2 linked regions of the Tamandua tetradactyla genome follow. The protein of the gene in region 1 purifies or fractionates together with the protein of each later gene. This does not show direct contact. Links are inferred from orthologs where the notes say so. Each region holds a gene or a part of one and is shown in the gene's direction. Other genes may lie near its edges.

Region 1 (10,747 bases):
AGGGCACGAGGGAGGCTTGAGATGGCCCAAGGCACTGTGCTTGAAAGCGTCCTCCACATGCGGCAGCAGGAGTCACCACTAGGCGGAGGGACATGGCGGGGCCCCGAAGTGCCGGCTGCCCACAGGACGCACCAAGGCCCTGGGGCCGATGGGCATTCTCTCTCCCTCCCTTCAGTCAAGGCACGATCGCAGACCGTGGCCGGTTCGCACCCCAGTTCAGCACTGGGATTCGCGGTCCCCACCTGGGCGCTGCAGACTGCACACCTGGGAGGCAGCAGTCACCCCGTCACCTCTGAAGCTTTGTCTTGTGGGCGGGATGTATTCTGTCTTGACTGGGTGCACTGTGGGCTGCTGGGCGCGGGGGGCTAGGGGACTGGGGGCCACGCGTGTCCTGCCCCACACCGGCTGCCGTGACGCCTGCCTACCAGGCCCTCAGCCACGTGCTGTTTCCCGCGCTCTGCTCCTGCCACCGTGGTCACATGGAGACGTGTTCCTCCAGGCAGCACAGGCCCCGCTGCGGCCCCCCCAAACCTGGGTGCGCTCGCCAGCCAGCGCCGCCTGCATCAGGGTGGAGGGACAGGGCCCAGAGAGGAGGTGGGAGCGGCCAGATCCCCCGTGGGGCACACGTCCTCGGGTCAGGGTCACAGCTGCACCCAGCCCCCACCCCTGCGAGCTGCCCTCGGGGTCGGCAGACCTCTGCCCTGCACAGCGCACGGCCCAGCTGGGCGATCCTGGAGGGGAAAGAAACGAAACCCCACCGGTTGGTGGAACTTGGAAATCTGGTTTCCTCCCCTAAACTGCTGGCCACCATGGACTTTTCACAGGCTCCGGTGGCTGCTCCCTGCCTCCTGTCCAGGGTTAGCCCCCCAGGGTGGGCGAGGGCAGGCGGCGCGGGGAGCACGCGATGGGGGCACCTGGAAGGCCACCTCCCCGACGGCCTTCCATCCCATATGCCCTGCGTGCGGTGTGCACGTGTCAAACGCTGGGGGGCAGGGGAGGCCCCCAAAGTACTGTGTGGTTTTAGGCCCTGGGATAGCCACCCTCTGGTTTCAAGGATGCAGCACGGTCCCACCTCCTCCCTTCCCGGTTGTGTGAGCCTTAGCGGCCATGGGAAGGGCCTTCCCAGAGCTAGAGGGACAAGGGTAGCTTTAGCAGACCCCAGCAGTCAGGAATTGGAACTGGGAGAGTCTCCGGGGATGAGAACACAAGGCAGAGGGTTTCAGCGAGAGCTGGAGCCACAGCAACCCCCTGGGGCCGAGAGGAGAGCGGTGCCGTGTCCCTGCTCTTCCTTCTGCCCATTCTCCGACATGCCACCAACACCCCCCCACACACCGGCCGCCATGCCCAGCCCGTCAGGACGTCACCCACCTGCAGTGCAAGCAGGGCAGGGTGGGGGTGGGTTTGAGAAGGGGCAGCAGTCACGAGGAGCTCACCTCCGCTGGCACGAGGTCACAAGGGTCCCTCGCTAAGCCTGTGAGGTGGGTCCCGGCACTACCCCATTGTAGAGACGAGGAGGCTGGGGCCCGAGGAGATGGGTGGCCACACACACCACACAGCCGGTTCCCTGGAAGGCAGGGGCCAAATCCGAGGCCCGGTTCTCAGCCGAGGTGGGGGTGGGCCGATGGGGGGTCAGTCTTGCTAAGAGACCCACAGCAGGCTCTCGCACTGGGAGCTGCCTGTCTTTTCTTTTCTTTCTCTTTAAGTATGTAGTCCAAAAATCTAAGTCTTATAACCAAACCTTAGTTTCCCAAACTATTGATACACACAACAGGGACACGTTTCAAAAGCCTTGTGCTGAGTGAGAGAAGCCAGACACAAAGCCCACATTCACTCGATGCTCCTGGAAAGACAAACGGGGTCTGGGGGGCAGGAGGCAAGTGCCAGGGGCACGGGGGAGCTTTCCAAGCCACGGAAACGTCATATATCCTGACTGCAGTGGCAACTGCAGGGCGCACACACACACACACACATAATATATATATATATATTTTGTGTGTGTGTGTGTGAAAACTCATCAAGCTGTACAGGTAAAAGGTATGCATCTCAGCAAATGTAAACTATAACTCAATAATATTTTTTTTAAAATGGTTGTGCCCCTCTTCACCCCCATTTCCCAGTCCTAAGAGACAATCATTTTCAGCTCTTTTGTCTCTTCTGACATCTTTCGCATCTCCAGTAACATATTCATCCTGCTACTTCATGACTTTTTAAGATTAATAAACTGTCTTTTTTACAGCAGTTGGGAGGGTGGCAGAGAGCACGAAGTGCTTCTCCTGTCATTCCACCTTACACTGGGGTGGCATGCTCGTTACACACGCTGAGCTGACAGCACAAGTCTCCTGACAGCCCGCAGTCCCCGGGCTCCTGCACGCGCTGCACGGGTCTGTGGGGTTCTGACAAATGCACAATGTCACGTGTCCCCCACCACCGCTTCAAGGAGAAAGCTTCCACCGCCTAAAAACCAGGTTAAAGAACATCGGTTCACTTTCTATCCCAGATCCCAAGAGGAAGATTTAGCTCTCTCACACACCTGAATTTTCCCAGGCTTCCATCCACCAAATAAAAGTACTTTTAAATTAAAATAACTTTCTGTTAAATATTTTAGAACACGCAAAAATAAGATGTACTGAATAATAAAATGAACCCCAGCTTTCATTCCAACGCCTGGAAACATGTGAATGCTTCCCCTGCACCCCCGGATGCCGTCCTCCTTCCCACCCTAGAATAACCTGTCCTGGATTTCGGTGTCTGCCTGGGTCTTGTGTTTTTTAGTTTTACAATCTGTGTGTACAGCTAAACAAAAGTGTTTAGTTTTTCCTTTTTCTTTTTTTTCACTGAGGTCTAACTTACATCTTGTAAGGTGTATAAATATAAATGTGCGCTGATAGATTTTATAAAAGTTCGTCTGGTCATCACACAGATTTCATTCCCGTCCCTCCCGAAGGCAGCCACTGCTACGGCCACTGTTGTCACGGATGACCTTGTAGAAATGAACTGTGGTGAGTGTGAGCACACAAGCGTGTGTCTGGCTTCTTTTGCTCAATATAATGCCTCTGAGAGTCAGCCAAGTACTGTGCAGAGACCATGTGTTCCTTTCCCTTGCTCTACGGTATTCCATCGTGTTCTCCATCACAGCTCTTTATCCAGGCTTTTGATGCACTCTGGGTTCTTAAACTTTGGAGTATAACAGACGGTGCTGCCCCAAGCATGCCTTCTGCAGGACACATGAGCTCATCTGTCCTGGGAATCTCCCCAAACTAGAATCGTGGGTTGGGGGCTGCACAGGGCTTAGCTTTAGTAAATACCATGTGGTTTTCCAAAGTGTTTGCACCAACTTGCACTCCCACTGGCAGTGCCAGGTCCCATTTACACTCCTGGTGCCCTCACGACAGATACTTGACATTTTAACTTTTCTATAAATGTCTGTTTTTTCTGTCACTTGCTTTTTTGGCACAGCAATATCTCTAAGCTTCATCTGTGTTAACATACGTACTTAGAATTCTTACATTAAAAGATAGTTACTGGGTGGGCCATGGTGGCTCAGCAGGCAAGAATGCTTGCCTGCTATGCCCGAGGACCCAGGTTCGATTCCCGGTGCCTGCCCATGTTAAAAAAAAAAAAAAAAAAAAAAAGATAGTTACTCATTCACTCATTGACAGACATTTGGGTTATTTGCTTTACGTTTTCTTTGTTCTTTCAATGACTACTAAAACATCTTCTGAGAACCCTGATTTGAGTCTCCCGATGCCCACGGGCAGGGGCTGTCACCCATGGGGGAAGGGAGGCGCCAGCATCTCCTGGAAACCTGTTAAAGCCAAAGCAGCTGGACCCCACCCCCAGATTTCCTGACTCAGCAGGCCAGGGTGGGGCCTGAGAAAGTGCATTTGTAACAGATCCCCAGGGGAGGCTGCTCCCGGATCAGGGGCCCCACTCTAAAGCTGGGGCACCCATCCGAGTGGGACTGCTGCTCAAGGGGAGTGCATCTTCACCGTTTTTCAACAGGCCTGCTTATTTTCTGAAGCTGTAGCCCCGTGGGGCTTAGCACACCTTTTTGTTAAATTCAGTCAGGTAAAACTCTCTCCCAGCTGAGTAATGCAGCTATTTTATATGGTAATGAACAGCCTTGGTGCCTGGAAGGTACCTGCATGGCAGACACCAGGCCTGGTGGCACAGAGAACTTGAGGACACCCTGCCTGCTGGTCAGGTAGTTGGCTCGGTGCTGGTAACGGGGCCCCCAGATGACGAGGGCTGAAAGGAATCAGATGTCCACGCCTCTCTTCCACAACAGAGAAGCAGGTGGGAGACAGCCCGGCTCGGTGCTGGAGGCTCAGGCATGGGGCCCTGGCCACCTGGGGTGACATCCAGAGTGACAAGGTATTCGACAGCTTCCATGTCCCCACGCGAAACAAGAAGAGAGTGGGGAGCACTGGGCACAGGGCCCCTTGAATGAACAGCCCCACCACTGTTCGCCGATGTCACCACAACCCCTCCTGCTGTCGGCGAACCTCCATGCCTGTCACCTGCTTTGCAGCTGTGGACAGTCCCATTTTACAGAGGAAACAGCTTCAGCAGCTGGTGCTGGCAAGAGGTTCTGAGGGGGGGCGCCAGCCCTGGTCCCCAGGTCCTCTGACTGGAGCTCAGCAGTGCAGCCCGTGGGACTTAGATCTGGAGAGGCCGGAGCCCTGAGCCCACCTCTGAAGTCTTCTCAGGATCTCCAAACTCCTCTGCACATGGTTTCCAGACTTGGCAAACATTCTCATCGGCAGCTCGGTGCCTGCCCAGGAGCCATGGGGTAAATGCCGCAGTGCCGCCCTCGAGTAGTTCACAGACTGGCTGGGAGGACAGACGAGGAGCAGGACAATACGATTTGTCCTGGCTGCTGCCCCAACGGGCACACACTGGTGCTGGAGACTCACCCAGGTGGCACCAGGCTCAGCCTCTTTTGGGGGTGGCAGGAGGGCTTCTGGGAGGTCCATCCCAGGTGAGACCTGGAGAAGAGTTAAAGATAGCCAGGTGAAGGAGAAAGGCGGGGACAGTGGTCCAAGCAGCAGGAATGGCAGGTGTGCAGACCTGGGGCAAAGCCAAGGGGGAGAAGGAAATATGAGGCTGGGAGGACTGGGACTGGCAGGGCCAGATGACAGAGTCTGAAGGGTCAGGCCGAGGAACTGGGGTTGCATCTCTGCGGCAGGGGTGCTCTGGAGGGTGCTGGAGTGGGGTGGTGGGAACCAGCCTGAAATTTAGAAAGGGGTTCTCTGGCTGCTTTCAGTTGCAGGAATTGGGGGGCAGGGAGGGGAAGCTGTGGCATTAATCTTGGCAAGTGGAGAGGACAGCATGAACCATACCAGGGCAGGGAGAGCAGTGAAAAGGGGGATAATGCAAGACTCCAGAGTTCAGGAGGCAGAACTGACCGGGGGCTCCTCTCCCTCTCTTCCCCTCCCCAAACCCTTCTGCCCAACCTCTCCCAGCCCCTTCTCTCTCCCCTCCCACACCTCCTGGCAGCTCCTACCTGCACACCCTCTCCTTCCTGCCGTCCGTCCACAGCCAGTGGTTTCAGTATGTTCACGAAGTTGGGCAGCCTTCACCACTGATGGTATTTCGGGAACATTTTAACCCCCCCCGCGAAAAGAAACCCTGTGCCCATCCGCGCCCCCAGCCCTGGCAGCCATGGCTCTGGCTCCCGCGTCCCTGGCTTGCTGCTCTGGGCAGCGCCATCCTTGCGCTCGCTCATCGGCTCCCTTCATCCGCGGGCCGCTTCCGAGGTCCCCCCCGCGGCGCGGCGCCCCCCCGGGGCGGGAGGACACCCACACCCAACGCCCCAAGGCGCAGAGGGGGCGCCCCGGGCCTCGCCGCGGTACCGGGGACCCTCATGGGCGCTGATGACACTCGCGACCCTGAGGGCTGCGAAAGCAGCGAGTTCTCCGTGCAAACAGGGTCACCCGCGCTCGGCTCTGCAGTTCACCCCCACGCACGTTTCCGGCCTCACGGGGGAGAGCGGGGGGCCAGCCCCCCTGCGCAGGCGCGCTCCCACCCGCCCCTCCGCGCAGGCGCACGAAGGACGGCCGCGCGCACGCGCGGCGCAGAAGCCCGCCCCCGGCGGGGCGGGGCGCGTCGACGGCTCTGGCGCCGCGCGGAGGCCGGAAGGAAGGCGGGAGGGAGGGGCGAGCGGAGGAAGCCCGCCTGCCCGCAGGTCGGCCGTCGCGGCCTGATGACGTCGCACAATGGCCGGCCCCCGCGGGTAGTGGAGCCCGTTTGTTCCGCCCGCGTCGCGCCCGAAGCCGGAGCCTGTGAGGAGCGGAAGGACTGTGGGACGTCGTCTCCGCGCCGCCGCGACTCTAGCGGAGCCGTGGCCCCCGTCTCCGCGCTCGCGCTGAGGTAAGCGAGGGCCGGGCGGGCGGCGGCGGTGGGAAGGAGGAGGCCGCCTCGTCGGCGGCCGGGCGGAGAACGTGGCGACGGCGGGAGCTGAGGCCGGGACCTTCCGCGCGGCCGCCGCCGTAGAGCGTTTCCGGCTGTGCCCTGCGGCCGTGGGCAGCCGCGGACGAAGCGTGGCCCTCGGGTGCCCCGGCAGGGGGGTCGCGGAGCCTGGCACGATCCCGCCTCTGTCCGCCGCGAGCGCGGCCCCGCGAGGGCCCCGGAACGCCCCCCGAGTCGGAGCTCCGCGCGAGCTGCGTCCGCGCCCCGCCGAGGGGTTACGTTCCTGAAGCTGTCATTTCTCTTCCGGGCCGTTCGCCGGGCACGTTTGCCGCCCACGAAGCGGGTTTGAGAGGCGCGCGGGCTCGCCCTCCGGAGTAGGCCAGCCCGGGGTGCTGGTGGGCGCTCCCGGGACTGTGAGCTCTTTGAACCGCCTGGAGCTTGGTCCTTCGCCTTCAGAGTGAGCACAGGTGAGACGCTCTCCGGTCCTTTAGGAACATGTAACAACTTCCTTGTGCCTTTGATTCGGAGCCCAAAGGGTGCTGGGCGACTGGTGTAAACTAATTGCGGTTATGATACTGGGAAAACCCAAGACTTCAAGACTAATGCAGTCTTTCGCCTGCTGAAACCAAAGTTGTTACTGATTATTTAAGGCAGCTGAGTTTGCCTGGGCAGAGTGGTTGATCATTGTAAATGAGCTTTGTTTTACAAAAACTCATTTGTAAAAGTAAGTCAGTCTTCTGATCCGTTTGGGGGGAAAGGAATAAGAGGGCATTTGACATCTGAGGTACTATTTGGGGCTTAAGGATGGCTCTCATCCTTTCTCCTTGGAGACTCTTTTCTGTCATTTTGCCTGTGGCGTTCCGAGCTCTGGGTGGGTAGTGTTTGCCTGATAGTGTTACGGTCTGTGCATATGAGTAGACTCCAGCCTCTGCAACCACTCAAATGTGTCCCAAAGGTTGGAGCCCTTCTCCAGTTTTAGAGGGAATGGCTCAGATGTTCTAAGAAAGCTTTATGGAGTTACTTCAGAGAGCATACAGGTAAGCTGTGACCTTGCTCCTAGTTAAAGAGCTTTTTTACTTTATCACAGTTACACACTGTCTCGAGATGGGTATTTCCTTGTTGTGCCTTTGATGGTCAGCTTAATAAATTCAGAGGATGGTATCTGTCACCACTGTAGGGGCAGATTTCCTTTAGATATTAAAAGTCTATCAAGTTATAAATTGGAATTTTAACCAGACATACCAGAACTCAGGCACTCAAATAGAAACCATTCTGTTAAAAGTAGTGTCCCAAAGGTTATGTCACTGATGCTCCTTTGCCAAAACCTCTTTAGAACTCCTGTTTTGTTAGTAAATATATAAGCCATGTGAGAAAAACCATTTCATCCAGTTTATCATTCAAACACATATGTTTGACCAAAATTATCTTACCTGGCTCAATGACTTACCTCACTCTCCAGACCAGGCCCTGAATGACTTCTGACTGTTTCTCAAAGTAGTCCGCTTTGAGAGGAGGAAGATTTGCTGCCACTGAAGAAAGACCAGAGTATGTTCTGCAGATTCTGAAGATTCTTCTAAAAGAGAAGTTCCTAACACATTCTGTGCTTCAACAGTGCCATTGGGTTCAGAGCATGGTCTACTAGAGTGACAGCTGGAAAAGGAGACTGTGCCTGAGTTCTGGTATCATTCTTTTTCAAATTAGTCATTTAAATTTCTTGCTTGTATGCAACAGGTAGTTTCTTAAGTAATAGTTTGGTCATTTACTGATAAATATCAAGCACCATATGTCATAAGGCAAGAGACCCTGTAATGGAAGGCAAGTTCATAGTCCTGTGGACCAGAAGATTAAATAATTAGCTCTAAACCTTGCCACAAATCCATAAGGATGGGGTGATTGTTGTAAAAAGACTAAATTGAGCAAAAATTGTGAACGTGGGGGTCAGTTAAGACTTGTCCAGAGGATCGTGTTTCATTTGCTGCACTTGGTAGGCCATGTATTTACCTCCCAAGCATCCTCACCTTCCAGGCACCCCAATGTGGCGAATGCACTCGCATATTTGCCAAACTGAATTAATCTCTAAAGCAGATGAAGACACGGAAGTCCAGAGAGGGCCTGGGAGTCAAACCGCCTGATTCCAAGGAAGTGCCTTCTTTCTGTGCCACGTGGTATGGCTCAGGTCGCTTCTGACACACAGGTAGATCCATTGGCAGAAAGACCAGGTAGATCCATTGCCAGATGGCCATGACTACCTGGTCTGGCGAGTTCATGCACTTTCCCCCAGATCCTGATGCTAGGAAGTGGAAAAGCTGGGAGGCTGTTTCTTCTGACCCATGTGCCCTATAAGAAAACAATACTTTAAAAGGTAAACGTCCCATTGTTTACTTGTCCACTGCATTGGTTCAGGTACTTGAAGGTAGGCACTTGTTTTCTTTTATTTCTTACTCTAGGAATTAATTTCAAGTCTGTCAGAATATACAAAGATATTTGGTCGAACTTAATCATGACCAAAACCGAAGTGCAAGTCTGCCTTGCCCTGGCCCCTGGACAGGAAGTCGCCTGCTTGGAGCAGTTTGTGCTCTGCATCCCTCTGGAAAGGATAGCATGCTGCAAAGCTGTGGCGGAGCTGAGCAGGTGCCCTCTGCAGACTTATCGATTGTTTATTTTAAACTTGTTTGAGAAGACATTAAATTTTCCATAACAAGTGTTTTAAGAGGTAACTTTGTTTCCAGGTTTGCCCTTAGACTATAATAATGAGAATCAAAATTTGTCACGTTTCAAGTGGGATTATAAAAGACTCTGGAACCGGTTGAGCTTTGGCTGACTGCTTCCTGGGTACCAAGCAGATGATAGTACTAGGGAGATGAACAACTCTGTGCTTTTATGTAGCTGTTTTTATATACAACGTAATAGAAACTGTATGTTAAACATAGGCTTAGGATGTTAGGTGCAAAGGAAACTCTTTTGTTTACTTTGTTAAAATTAGAAAGTAAGAATAGCAGGGGGAAAGGTCACTTAGTGTGCCACTAGCCTTGACTGTTGGTCTCCAACACTTAGAAACATGGCAGCCGTAGCATGGCCTCCTCCATCCTCATCGGTCTGCCTCAGGCTCCTGGGAAATGGAGTGGGGGCAGGATTTCTGCCCATTTCTCATTTTCAATAAAGAACCTTATTTTAGGATCAACCTTTGAGTAATTCCTTCAAATAGTTCCACCTCTGGATGCTAACTGGAGAGTGTAGTTGGAAAACTGAAAAGTGAATCATTTTAAGATCTGTTTTAGATTGGCTGGTGTGTAAACTAGTATTCTTGCTAACCATTTCGTTTCCGTGGAGTAACAGGTTTTAAGTTACTTGTCCTGATTTATGTTCAGTTTTAATTCCATTAACAGCAAAGAAGAAAGTTAAGTCTAGATAAAATCCACTCCTGATACTGTGCCTTTTTAAAAGTATTCCTGCATGCGTACACATGCACAACTGCAGCTGCAGACCGGATGGCTTGTCTCACCTGTAAACTTGCGGTCATCTTGGGACAGATAAATTTTTTCCGGATATCTCTGAGACACCAAGCAGCATGACTATGGCATGGATTATTTTAAATAGAAGTTGTCATAAGCCTCAGGAAGAAGAATCGAGTGACTGTTTGGACCTTTTTCGGTTCCTATCATTATAAACAAACATGTAAGCAGCTCACTGCCCAGTGCTTGGTGACGGGTCAGCGTTTGCTTCTAGACTGTTTGATGGTGGTGTGCACACATGCTCCCACCCCACCTTATGTAATCCACATTTTAGGACATTGCAGTGGGAAAACCAGAAGATACTCACTTTATAATTCAGTCTAGATGAGGAAAAAGAGAAATTAAATCTTCTGAAATGGCACTATGACTTTGAACTACTCACACTTTGTAAATTTTTCTGCCAGGCTTCTTTCCGTAGCAGGTACTAGATTTGCGCAGTGGCTCTCGGCATCACTGGGGTGTGTAGAGCACTCTTGAATGTCTGTTGGAGGTGCATGTGGAACAGGTCTGCATTTGAGTGGTTCTGCTGAAGGCAGCCGGAAGCCATGCTTTAGGAAAGTGCACTCAGTAAAAGGAGAAAGTCCACACCTGGGGACCAGGACGGGCTGGTCAGGTTTCTGCTGCACACTGCTTGAGGTGACTGCAGAAAAATGGCCAAATGTGGGCCTTCAATTTTGTTGCCCCATTCCATAATGCACATTTTCTTGAATTTCGAAAGGACTGTAAGACTTCCGGAGCTGTCCCTTGCAGTCGTGTGGATGACGCTGCAAGGAGAGCACTGGACCATGGCTCTGCTGGGGTGTGGGAAGTGTTGGGTCCTGACC
Region 2 (10,055 bases), on another chromosome or scaffold:
CACATGATAACTTCTGTTGACACAGAGAATTCATTTGTCAAAATCCAGCATCCTCTCTTGACCTCAACACTTAACAAAAATAGGAATAGAAAAACTTCCTTAACATGATAAAGGGCATATATGAAAAATCCACAGCTAACATCATACCCAAAGGTGAAAGATCAAAAGCTTTTCATCTAAGATCCCGAGCAAGACAAGCATGCACATTATCACCACTATTATTCAACATTGTACTGGAAGTTCTAACCAGAGGAATTAGGTAAGAAAGAAAAATAAAATGCATCCAAATTGGAAAGGTAGATGTAAAACTTTCCTTATTTGTAGATGGCATGATCCTATGTATAGCAAATACTGAAAATTCCACAACAAAGCTTTTAAAGCTAATAGACAATTCAGCAAAGTGGAAGGGTACAAGATGAACACACAAAAATCAGCAGTATATCTATACACTAGTAATGAGCAAGATGAGAAGGAAATCAAGGTAATAATTCCATTTACAATAGCAACTAAAAGAATCAAATAACTAGGAATAAATCTACCCAAGGATGTAAATGACTTGTACACAGAAAACTACAAAAACATTGCTAAAAGAAATCAAATAAGAACTAAATAAATGGAAGGACATTCTATGTTCATGGATTAGATGACTAAATATCATTAAGATGTCAGTTCTATCCAAAGCAATGTATAGATCCAATGAATTTCCAATCAAATTCTAACAATTGCAGAAATGGAAAAGTCAATCAAAATTTATATGGAAGGGTAAGGGCCTTGAATAGCTAAAGCCACTTTGAAGACGTAGAATGAAGTTGGAAGACTTACATTTCCTGATCTAAAACTTATTACAAAGCCACAGTGTTCTAGTTTGCTAGCTGCTGGAATGCAATATACCAGAAATAGAATGGCTTTTAAAAGGGGTAATTTAATAAGTTGCTAGTTTACAGTTCTAAGGCCAAGAAAATGTCCCAATTAAAACAAGTCTACAGAAATGTCCAATCAAAGGCATCCAGGGAAAGATACCTTGGTTCAAGAAGGCCAATGAAGTTCGGGGTTTCTCTCTCAAGTGAGAAGGCACACCGTGAACACAATCAGGGCTTCTCTCTCAGCTGGAAGGGCACGTGGTGAACACCGCGTCATCTGTTAGCTTTCTCTCCTGATTTCCGGTTTCATGACGCTCCCTGGGAGGCGTTTTCCTTCTTCATCTCCAGAGGTTGCTGACTTGTGGACTCTTTGCTTCATGCTGCTGCAGCATTCTCTGCTCTCTCTGAATCTCTCATGCTCCAAAAATATTTCCTCTTTTATAGGACTCCAGTAAACCAATCAAGACCCACCCAAATGGGTGGAGACACATCTCCCCTAATCCAGTTTAACAACCACTTTTGATTAGGTTATATCTCCAGGGAGATGATCTAATTACATACAGTATTGAATAGGGATTATTCTGCTTCTATGAAATGGGGTTTTGATTAAAACATGGCTTTTCTAGGGTACACACATCCTTTCAAACCAGCACACACAGTAAGCAAAACATTGTGGAACTAGCACGAGGACAGACATACAGACCAATGGAACAGAATTGACAACTCAGGAATCAATCCTCACATTTATGGCCATCTAATTTTTGACATGGCAGCAAAGACCACTCTATTGGGAAAGAATAGTTTCTTCAACAGATGGTGTTGGGAAAACTGGATCTCTATTTGCAAAAAAAAAAGAAGAAGAAGGACCCCCCCTACCGCATACCCTATACAAAATTAACTCAAAATGGAACAAAGACCTTATTATAAGACATAAACTCTCAAATTTTTAGGATAAATAATAGGCAAGCACCTTCAGGACCTTGTTTTAAGCAATAGTTTCTTGGACTTGATACCCAAAGCATAAGTAACAAAAGAAATAGATATGTGGGGTCTCATGAAAATTAAAAACTTTTGATCCTCAAAGGATTTTATCATGAAAGTAAAATGACAACCTACAAAATGGGAGAAAATACCTGGAATCCCATCTCTGATAAAGGATTACTATACAGTACGTATAATGAAATCCTCCAACTTAACAACAAAAGGTAAACAATCCAATTTAAAAATGGACAAAAGACTTGAACAGACATCTCTCCAAAGTAGATGTTTCAAGGGTTAGAAAGCACATGAAAAGATACCCAACATCATTAGCTTTCAGGAAGATCCAAATCAAAAGCACAATGAGATGCCATTTCACACCCATTAGAATTACTGCTATTAACAAAATGAGAAATAACAAGTGTTGGAGAGGATGCAAAGAAATCTGGACACTCATTCATTGCTGGTGGGAATGTAAAATGGCGCAGCCACTGTGGAAGACATTTTGGTGATTCCACAGCAAACTAAGTACAGAATTACCACATGACCCGACACTTCCACTTCTAGGTATATACCCCAAAACGTTGAAAGCAGGGATTTGAATAAATATTTGCACACTGGGTCATAGCAGCATTATTCAAATTCAAATTTCCAAAGGATGGAAGTGACTGAAATGTCCATCGGCCACCGAATGGATAAATAAAATGTGGTATATACCTACAATGGAATATCATTCAGCCAAAGAAGGACTAAGCAACAACATGGAAGAACCTTGAAGACATCATGTTGAGTTAAGTAAGCCAGACACAAAGGGACAAGTATTGTATGATCTCACTGATTTAAAATAATTTGAATAAGCAAACTCACATATTCTATATTCATATAGAGTCAAAATCTAGAGTATAGATTATCATGGGATGGGATGGGGATAGAGAATAGGAAGTTAAGGCTTAAAAAGAGCAGGATTTCTGTCTGGAATGATGGAAATGTTAATCATCGTGACGGTAGCACAACCTGTTAATGCAATTAACAGCACTGAAATATACATCTGAATGTGATTTAAAGGGGAAATTTTAGATTGTATAAATGGAATCAGAATAATATTAAAAAGAAAAAACTCCGGGCGGGCCACGGTGGCTCAGCAGGTAAGAATGCTTGACTGCCATGCCTGAGGACCCAGGTTCGATTCCCGGTGCCTGCCCATGAAAAAAAAAAAAGAAAGAAAAAACTCCTTGGAACTACACTGTGAACTCTAATTAAACCATGGACGATAGTTAATAGTAGGATTATAAAAATATGGTACCAATTGTAACAAATGTTCCACTCAATGCAAGATGTTGATAATAGGGTGATATATAGGAAAGCGATTTTTTTTTTTTTTAAACATGGTCAGGTACTGGGAATTGAACCCGGGTCTCCGGCCAGAACTCTGCCTGCTGAGCCATCATGGCCCACCCAGTAATAGGGTGATATATGGTAATCCGGTATTTTGTGCATGAGTGTTCTGTAAAACCCACAACCTCTCTAATAAAGAAAAAAATTAGGTAAAAGGGGATTAGTCAAAGACTAATACAGATTCACCACTTCGGAGGTGTGAATATCAATATAATTTATTCTTGTGTTTTTTCTTTCTTTAGATGTTATTAATCCTCTTACACTCTCATCGAGATTTTTCAAGGAAACCAATCATTCTGAACTGTGGGTGAAAAAATTTTTGTGAGTTACCAAAGAAAATGAGTGGAAACTTGCTGTATATGAAAAACACTGATGTGTATGGTTCAGCTAAATCATATTTGCATCTCTGGGGCTACGCTTGTAAAAATCTTACCCTTGTTGTAAAAATCTTATTGCCATGGTATTTCTATAGATCACATAAAAATGTATTTAGTTATTTAACAAATCTTTATTGGGCGTCTGCTATATCCAAGCACTGTTCTTGGAGCTGGGGACACAGCATAATCAAAAGAGAAATTCTTGCTCTCAACTGGGACCGGGAAACAATTAAAAAATAAATGTATACTATGTTAGTTAGTGATGAATGTTAAGCAGGGAAGAAAATACGGGTAAAGAGCTGGCGAATGCTGGCAGGGTTACCTAGATGAAAAACGTGGCCAGGAAGGCTTTACTGACAAGATGATGATTGGTTTAAATCGAGTTCAGTAAGAATTTAGTGTGTATTCAGGAAGTCTCTGGCAACTCTGCCACTTCCTGACTGTGTGATCTTGTACAGCAGTGACTAACTTTTCTGAGCCCGACTGGCCTGTAAAATTCAGAGAGGATAGAGGAAATGCGTTGTAAACGATAGTTATTATTGTGGATTATGAATATAGTTTATATTATGAATTTTATGAATGCAGTATGACCGCCCCATGCCCCAAGAAAAGAGATTCCAACTCATTGGGGTGGTGGTGGATGTTCTTTTGGAATAGTTCCTGCCCTTTGTAATTCGAAATGGGATTGAGACCCTGTCACACAGCTGGCATTGCTTTCTGCGAATTCAGAAAGTGCATCATTGCTAGCTTTAGTTTCCTCATCAATAAACTGGAAATAATGGTAGTCCTGACCACTTAGGGTTTTTGTTATTGTTGCAAAATTGACATTCATTGAGTCATTTTTGACGCGTATTGAACCACATGCCAGGCTTGGTTCCAAACAATGTAAATCTATTCATTCGTTTAAACCATAACAATCCAAGAAACCAAGTACTATTTTTATCAGCATTTTATGGTTAGGGAAACTGAGACACAGAGGGGTTAAATCTAGAGTCGGAGCTCTATGGTTCCAACTCAGAGAATTTGACTCCAGAACCTGGGAATATTATAAAGTGCTTATCCCAGTGCCTAGCTCATACTTAGAGCTCAATAAATCTTCGTTCTTCTGGATGTTATCAGTTCTAGGCTGCGGCTGGGATCAGAATTTCTATTTCGGAAGGGCTTGGGGTAGCCAGTTTGTTGGAAGTGGGAGGTAGGGAGTGTTTACATAGCAACCATAGCTTACTGCATAGTAACCATATGTTTACTTAAATTGGGGAGTTTGGGAGAGTTGATCGGAACTGTGGGGAAGGGACAGTTAGCCGGCCACCCCTTGGCACCCCACTGTTCAGTGGACATTAGCACAGCAGAAGCTGAAATCTGAACTCTCCCCCTAGAACCACCCTATGACCCGGTCCTTTTTCCCTCTAAAGCCTCTCCCCTCCCTTTAGAGGCGGATGGTTTCTTCCGTTCCTCGGTCTAGTTCAGGTTCCGCGCTCCTGAGTCACAAAGCGCCGGAGTCACGTGGGAGGGCCGGTGCGCTTTGTGACGTCGACGGCTCCGCCTCTCGGCCCGCCTATCCGCTCACGCCAGCCCCACCTCGCGCGCGCCGCCCGTGCAATCCTTGCCTAAGAGACCCCGGAGTCGGGCGCTCGCCCGAAGCCAGGCCGCGTCCGCCATAGTGCCTGGCTTGGAGGTGTCGCCGACGCTTGGTGAGGGCCGGAGAGCGGCAGGGGGGCAAAAAAAAAAAAAGAAAAAAAGGGAGCCAGCAAAGCCCCTTGCCGTTGCCCGGCGGTTTCCGGCCATATTCTGGCGGTTCTGGGCCTAAAGGCGACGGAAGCGAAAGGCGAGAGAAGCTCGGAGCACACGGCGAGAGGAAGCGTCAGGGAGACTCGGCGGCGTCCCCGGGGTCCGCCAGAGCCACCCGGCTACTGGGCTGGGGCCGGGGGTGGTGAGGAAGTGCTTCCAGGCCCAGTTGAGGCCTAGTACCGGCTTTGTGTCTAAGGCGGCGGCGGCGGCGGCGGCGCACGGCGGCGGGGGGGAGGTGGAGCCGGGGGCGGCCTGCAGAAAGGCCTCTCCTCCGCCGACCGCGCTTTTTTTGGCCTAGACCGCGGGGCCGCCTGTGGTCTGCCGGCAGCAGGAGAAAGGGGTTTGTGTGGGGGCTGGGGGCCTGGGCCTGGGGAAGTCGACGCCAGTCGTCCGGAAGCCAGGAGGAGGCGAAAGGCCGCTCGTGGACTCCGGGCCTAGGCCCTCTCCCCTCAACCTTCTCCCGGGGCCTGGGTCACCCCATTCCACGGAAAGAGACCAACCGGGAGGTGCGGCCACGCCATGGACCCCTGACCCCGCGGGGGTCACTCGGACTTTAACGTGTGGACTGACCGCTACTGACTGCACCGCCTACCCCCGTCTCCTGCCGGCCCTTAGCATGAGCGAGGGGGACCCAGCCGGGTGACATTGTGCCCGTTGGCGGATTCTCGATTTCCCCTTTTCCAGGTCCTCGTCTCCCTCCTCCCACATGAAGTGATTCTGAGTAACAGGGGGGGGTTCTGGATTATTGTTTTACGAACCCCTGCTTGTGGTTGGGGGTTATTTAATCCAAGACCTTAGGGTCCTTCCGTGTCTTTTGAGTGTTTTGTGTGTGTACATTTTTGCTCTTAAGTTTATAAATATACATATAGTGAGAGTGTCCACGTCTCCTCGCTGAACCTTAGGAATCCTTTGGCACCATGTCCTGTGTGCATTATAAATTTTCCTCTAAACTCAACTATGATACCGTCACCTTTGATGGGCTCCACATCTCCCTCTGCGATTTAAAGAAGCAGATTATGGGGAGAGAGAAGCTGAAAGCTGCCGACTGCGACCTGCAGATCACCAACGCGCAAACGAAAGAAGGTAAGAGCCACATGGGCTCCAGGTATTTGCTGGTTGAAGATAAATAGTAGTAGTAAGGTGTCTGGCAGAAGACTAACCGCCATTATGTCTCTGTTCGTTCTAATACTTTCCATGCAACTTTAATTGATAGCCAAGGGTTACAGCATCCCTACTTGGAGATTAACTGGTTTATTTAATTTGATTTCTGTGTAATTAGGTCATTTGTAACAGGCTCATCCAAAAACGTGAAAGTTTGATTATTTACTCTTTTTTTTTAATGAGAATGGGTGGAGGGGCGGGTATCCAGAGTTTGGTTCTTGCCTTGTGCTGTAACTTTTTTTTCCATCGAAAGAAGGTTGAAAGAGAGCATATGCAAGGCTTGTTATTTGTTAAAGCAGCAATAAAGATACTTCTCTAATTTTGCTTTTGGGGAATAATGGCAAATTGATGTCCTCCCTTTATCCCGCCCCTTACCCTTATTTTGGAGTTATTTTTGCGAATTTAATCCACCCACTCTTTAATGTTGTAATTGATTTTGGAACTTGATAGGTTCTTATGTGACAGGTTTTGTATTGTGTATAAATTACGGAATTAGTAATGCAGTAATTAGATAGTTGAACTCTTAGTTCATCATACTACTCTTAAAATTTAGCAGTTGATTAAAGATCAAAAGAACTGGTTTTTCTTTTTTAAAGTAGTAATTGCTGTACTTTACATGACTATGTTAGGAGAATATTGACAGATAGTAGGTTGCTACCATATGAGTACAAACAAACCACTGGCTGGAATCTTTAAGTTCTTTCTCCTTTTTGAAACTATTTTATGATACTGGAAATTGAATAATAGATGAAACAGTGTGCTGATGGCCTTTTCAGACTCTTGACTGTGAACTTGTTTTGGTTTCTTTTTCTCAGTACAGTAGTTTACAGTAGGTCAATGTTGAGTTTTATTGATGGAATGAGAATGAATGAAGTGAAGTTCTAACTAGGTTAGATTTATTGATCACTAAACTTGGTGTAAGATGTGACATTTGTTCATTTAGTTGATATGGGAGGACCCCCATCTTTAGCATGTAATGTGGTGTTGGGTAGAGTACATCTTTTCACGTAGAAGAGCAGCTTTCCGTTTCCAGACATAATTTAAAGAACAGCAATACCGGCATCATGACTCAGAACTGTTCATTAGGAAGAACTTTATTTACTTAAATGATTACATGTGAAAGAATAAACCCTCCTTGCCTCCACCATCAACTGCCGTTTTGTTTTTTTTTAAACAGATGTTATATCTAAAGAGCACTTCATATGAAGCTTTGGTCATTGTAATTATGTGTAGCATCCTTCTACTTAAGAAAAGGAGAGATTGTGGTCATGAACATTGAGAGAGCTTTTTTTAACATGTTACTTGAGAAAATACCTAAAGAGAAATATTCTTATTAAGCCCAGCAAATCATCCCTTAAGTATTGTAGTTACATTTCATTTAGGCCATATTGATATATTAATGAGCACTTATGAATGAGAGAAAGAAAACATTAATAATATTAATACAAGAGGATATAAAGGCAGTTTTAATGATTATGTACTATGCAGGTTTCATATTTTATTGGAGCATTACACAACTGAATCATTAAATGCTAGGCTTTGTCCTTTTCCATCTAACAGTTGAATACAACTTGAATAGACTGTGTGGAATAAGTTTTGTTTGAAGGAATTCTTGTCCATCAGCTTTGCTTTGTAACTCTGTTTTTTCTCATCCAAGAAGTATAAATATGTGCTAAGTAACTCAAACCTTGAAAGCCAGGGAAGTGCTTTGCTCAACAGCATATTTTCTTGTATACATCGTGTAAACTGTCCTTTATTGGAGAAACCTCTGGCAGTCAATCTAGATGTTGTTTAGGAGAAGGAACTGGGAGAGAAAAAAGTGTGCATTTTATGTAGTCCTCAAATTAAGGAAGGAAAAGATATTGGTACTGCAGAAGATAGTCACCTAATGAGTTTTATGGGAAATACTATCCAGTGTCACAAGGCTTTTGGCGTAATTCCGCTTGGTTTTAGCACCAAATCCAGTGAATTAAAGGGTGCATCATAATTAGGAGATTGTTTAGAACACTGAATTAGATCACTTTAATTTGTTGTGAATAAATGCTTTAAATCACTTTACCATTTTTCTATAGAATATTTCTTATAGTTTTTGAATCAGTTAAATCCTGATTAACGAGATTAAAATGCTTCAATCAGAATTTCATGTTTTAAAGTTTTTAACGTGTTTATTTAAAAACTCTTTCAAAAATGAATCCCAAATTTATCTTTGTTATGTATGAAAAACTTGTTTTCTAGTCTCCTTTTCTGCTGAGCACCTCCCCCCCTAAACACACACACACGAACACATTTTTATTCTGAACTTTGTGAGAGATGTGGAAGTTGAGTATGAACAATTTTTTGGCAGTCCTTGTTATCTTTCTGGCTTTCTCCATTTCCCAAATTTATCTTGTTATTTATTCCATGCATGAACATTCATTCATGTTTTTGGATCAAAAATTATACTGGTGAGAAGAAATGGTCTTATAAAGCTAAAGGCTTTTTGTTAAAGAGGTATTGTAAGTATGAAGATACCTTTAGGAAAGAGATGTTTACTAAATCATTGTAGTTCAGGTACATTAAAAGGTCACCTAGATAATCTGTTGAGCATGTTAGTTGACACAGTGCTGTGTTGATCAAATTAATAAATTGTCTTGGACAGCGTGGAACATGTTTGAAAGTTGTTAGGTATTCAGAAAGTTCCTGTCAGGTGTTTGACACCAGATTTTGTCTCTACAATTAGCCTTTATTTTTCTGCATGAGCAGGCACCAGGAATTGAACCTGGGTCTCTGGCATGGCTGGTGAGAACTCTACCACTGAGCCACCATTGCCCTCTAAATTAGCTTTTTAAAGATTCTCCTTCTGATTTTTCTTATTCAAAAGTTTGCTTTGGAATGAAGTACTATCGTGAACTATCCAAGATATTGATAATCCTACATTGGTATGTCTTAATCTAGGCAATTACATCACTAATTGGATACTAAGTGAGATAAAGTCTGCTGCTTGATATATAACCCTTGTCCGAACAAGCATATATAGTTTATAAGCTTGAAATAGAAGAACAGAGGCCAGCAGCCACTTTGTTCGGAGAAGTTTAAGTGAAGTGAATAAACCTAATAATATTAAAAGACTAAATTTTAATGTCTCATTGTATGATTGAGAGAGATGGATACATTTACACATCTGAGTAGTGGGTTATTTTTCTTTTCGGTGGTTTTCTAACTTCCTTCCTTAGCAAATCTTTCTATCATGGTTTAATTCTTCAGTTAGATTTCCTAATTTCATTCTTAAAGAAGTACTGCAGATAGACAGTTCCAAGAGTAGAATAAGATCCATTCATCCTCACTCCTTGTCATCTGAGAAAGTGGCATCTCTATTCATCCAGTTTCTTAAACTGGGAATCCAGGAATTTATGACTGAATCCTCTTTCTCTTTCATTCTACCCCTCATCTCCCCAAACAGTCAGACCATTAGCAAGCCTTGTTGATTCTCCCTCAAGCATTCTCTCTGTTTCTCTCT

The links. Proteins that work in one complex are often made in the same cells at the same time.
Region 2: the proteins of ZC3H18 (region 1) and RBBP6 purify together in Homo sapiens (affinity purification with mass spectrometry; 3 studies listed by BioGRID and IntAct, counting the BioPlex papers as one, with this or other methods). This does not show direct contact. The link is inferred for Tamandua tetradactyla from reciprocal best matches to the Homo sapiens genes ZC3H18 and RBBP6.

The regions. Positions count from the first base shown.
Region 1 is NC_135342.1:82,905,081-82,915,827, forward strand, and holds the start of ZC3H18 (zinc finger CCCH domain-containing protein 18), read left to right. Parts: upstream 1-6,173; 5' UTR 6,174-6,372; intron 6,373-6,751; 5' UTR 6,752-6,878; intron 6,879-7,870; exon of another isoform or gene 7,871-8,090; intron 8,091-8,133; exon of another isoform or gene 8,134-10,086; intron 10,087-10,123; exon of another isoform or gene 10,124-10,747.
Region 2 is NC_135349.1:32,518,442-32,528,496, reverse strand, and holds the start of RBBP6 (E3 ubiquitin-protein ligase RBBP6), read left to right. Parts: upstream 1-5,183; 5' UTR 5,184-6,315; coding exon 6,316-6,481; intron 6,482-10,055. UniProt on the Homo sapiens protein: E3 ubiquitin-protein ligase which promotes ubiquitination of YBX1, leading to its degradation by the proteasome.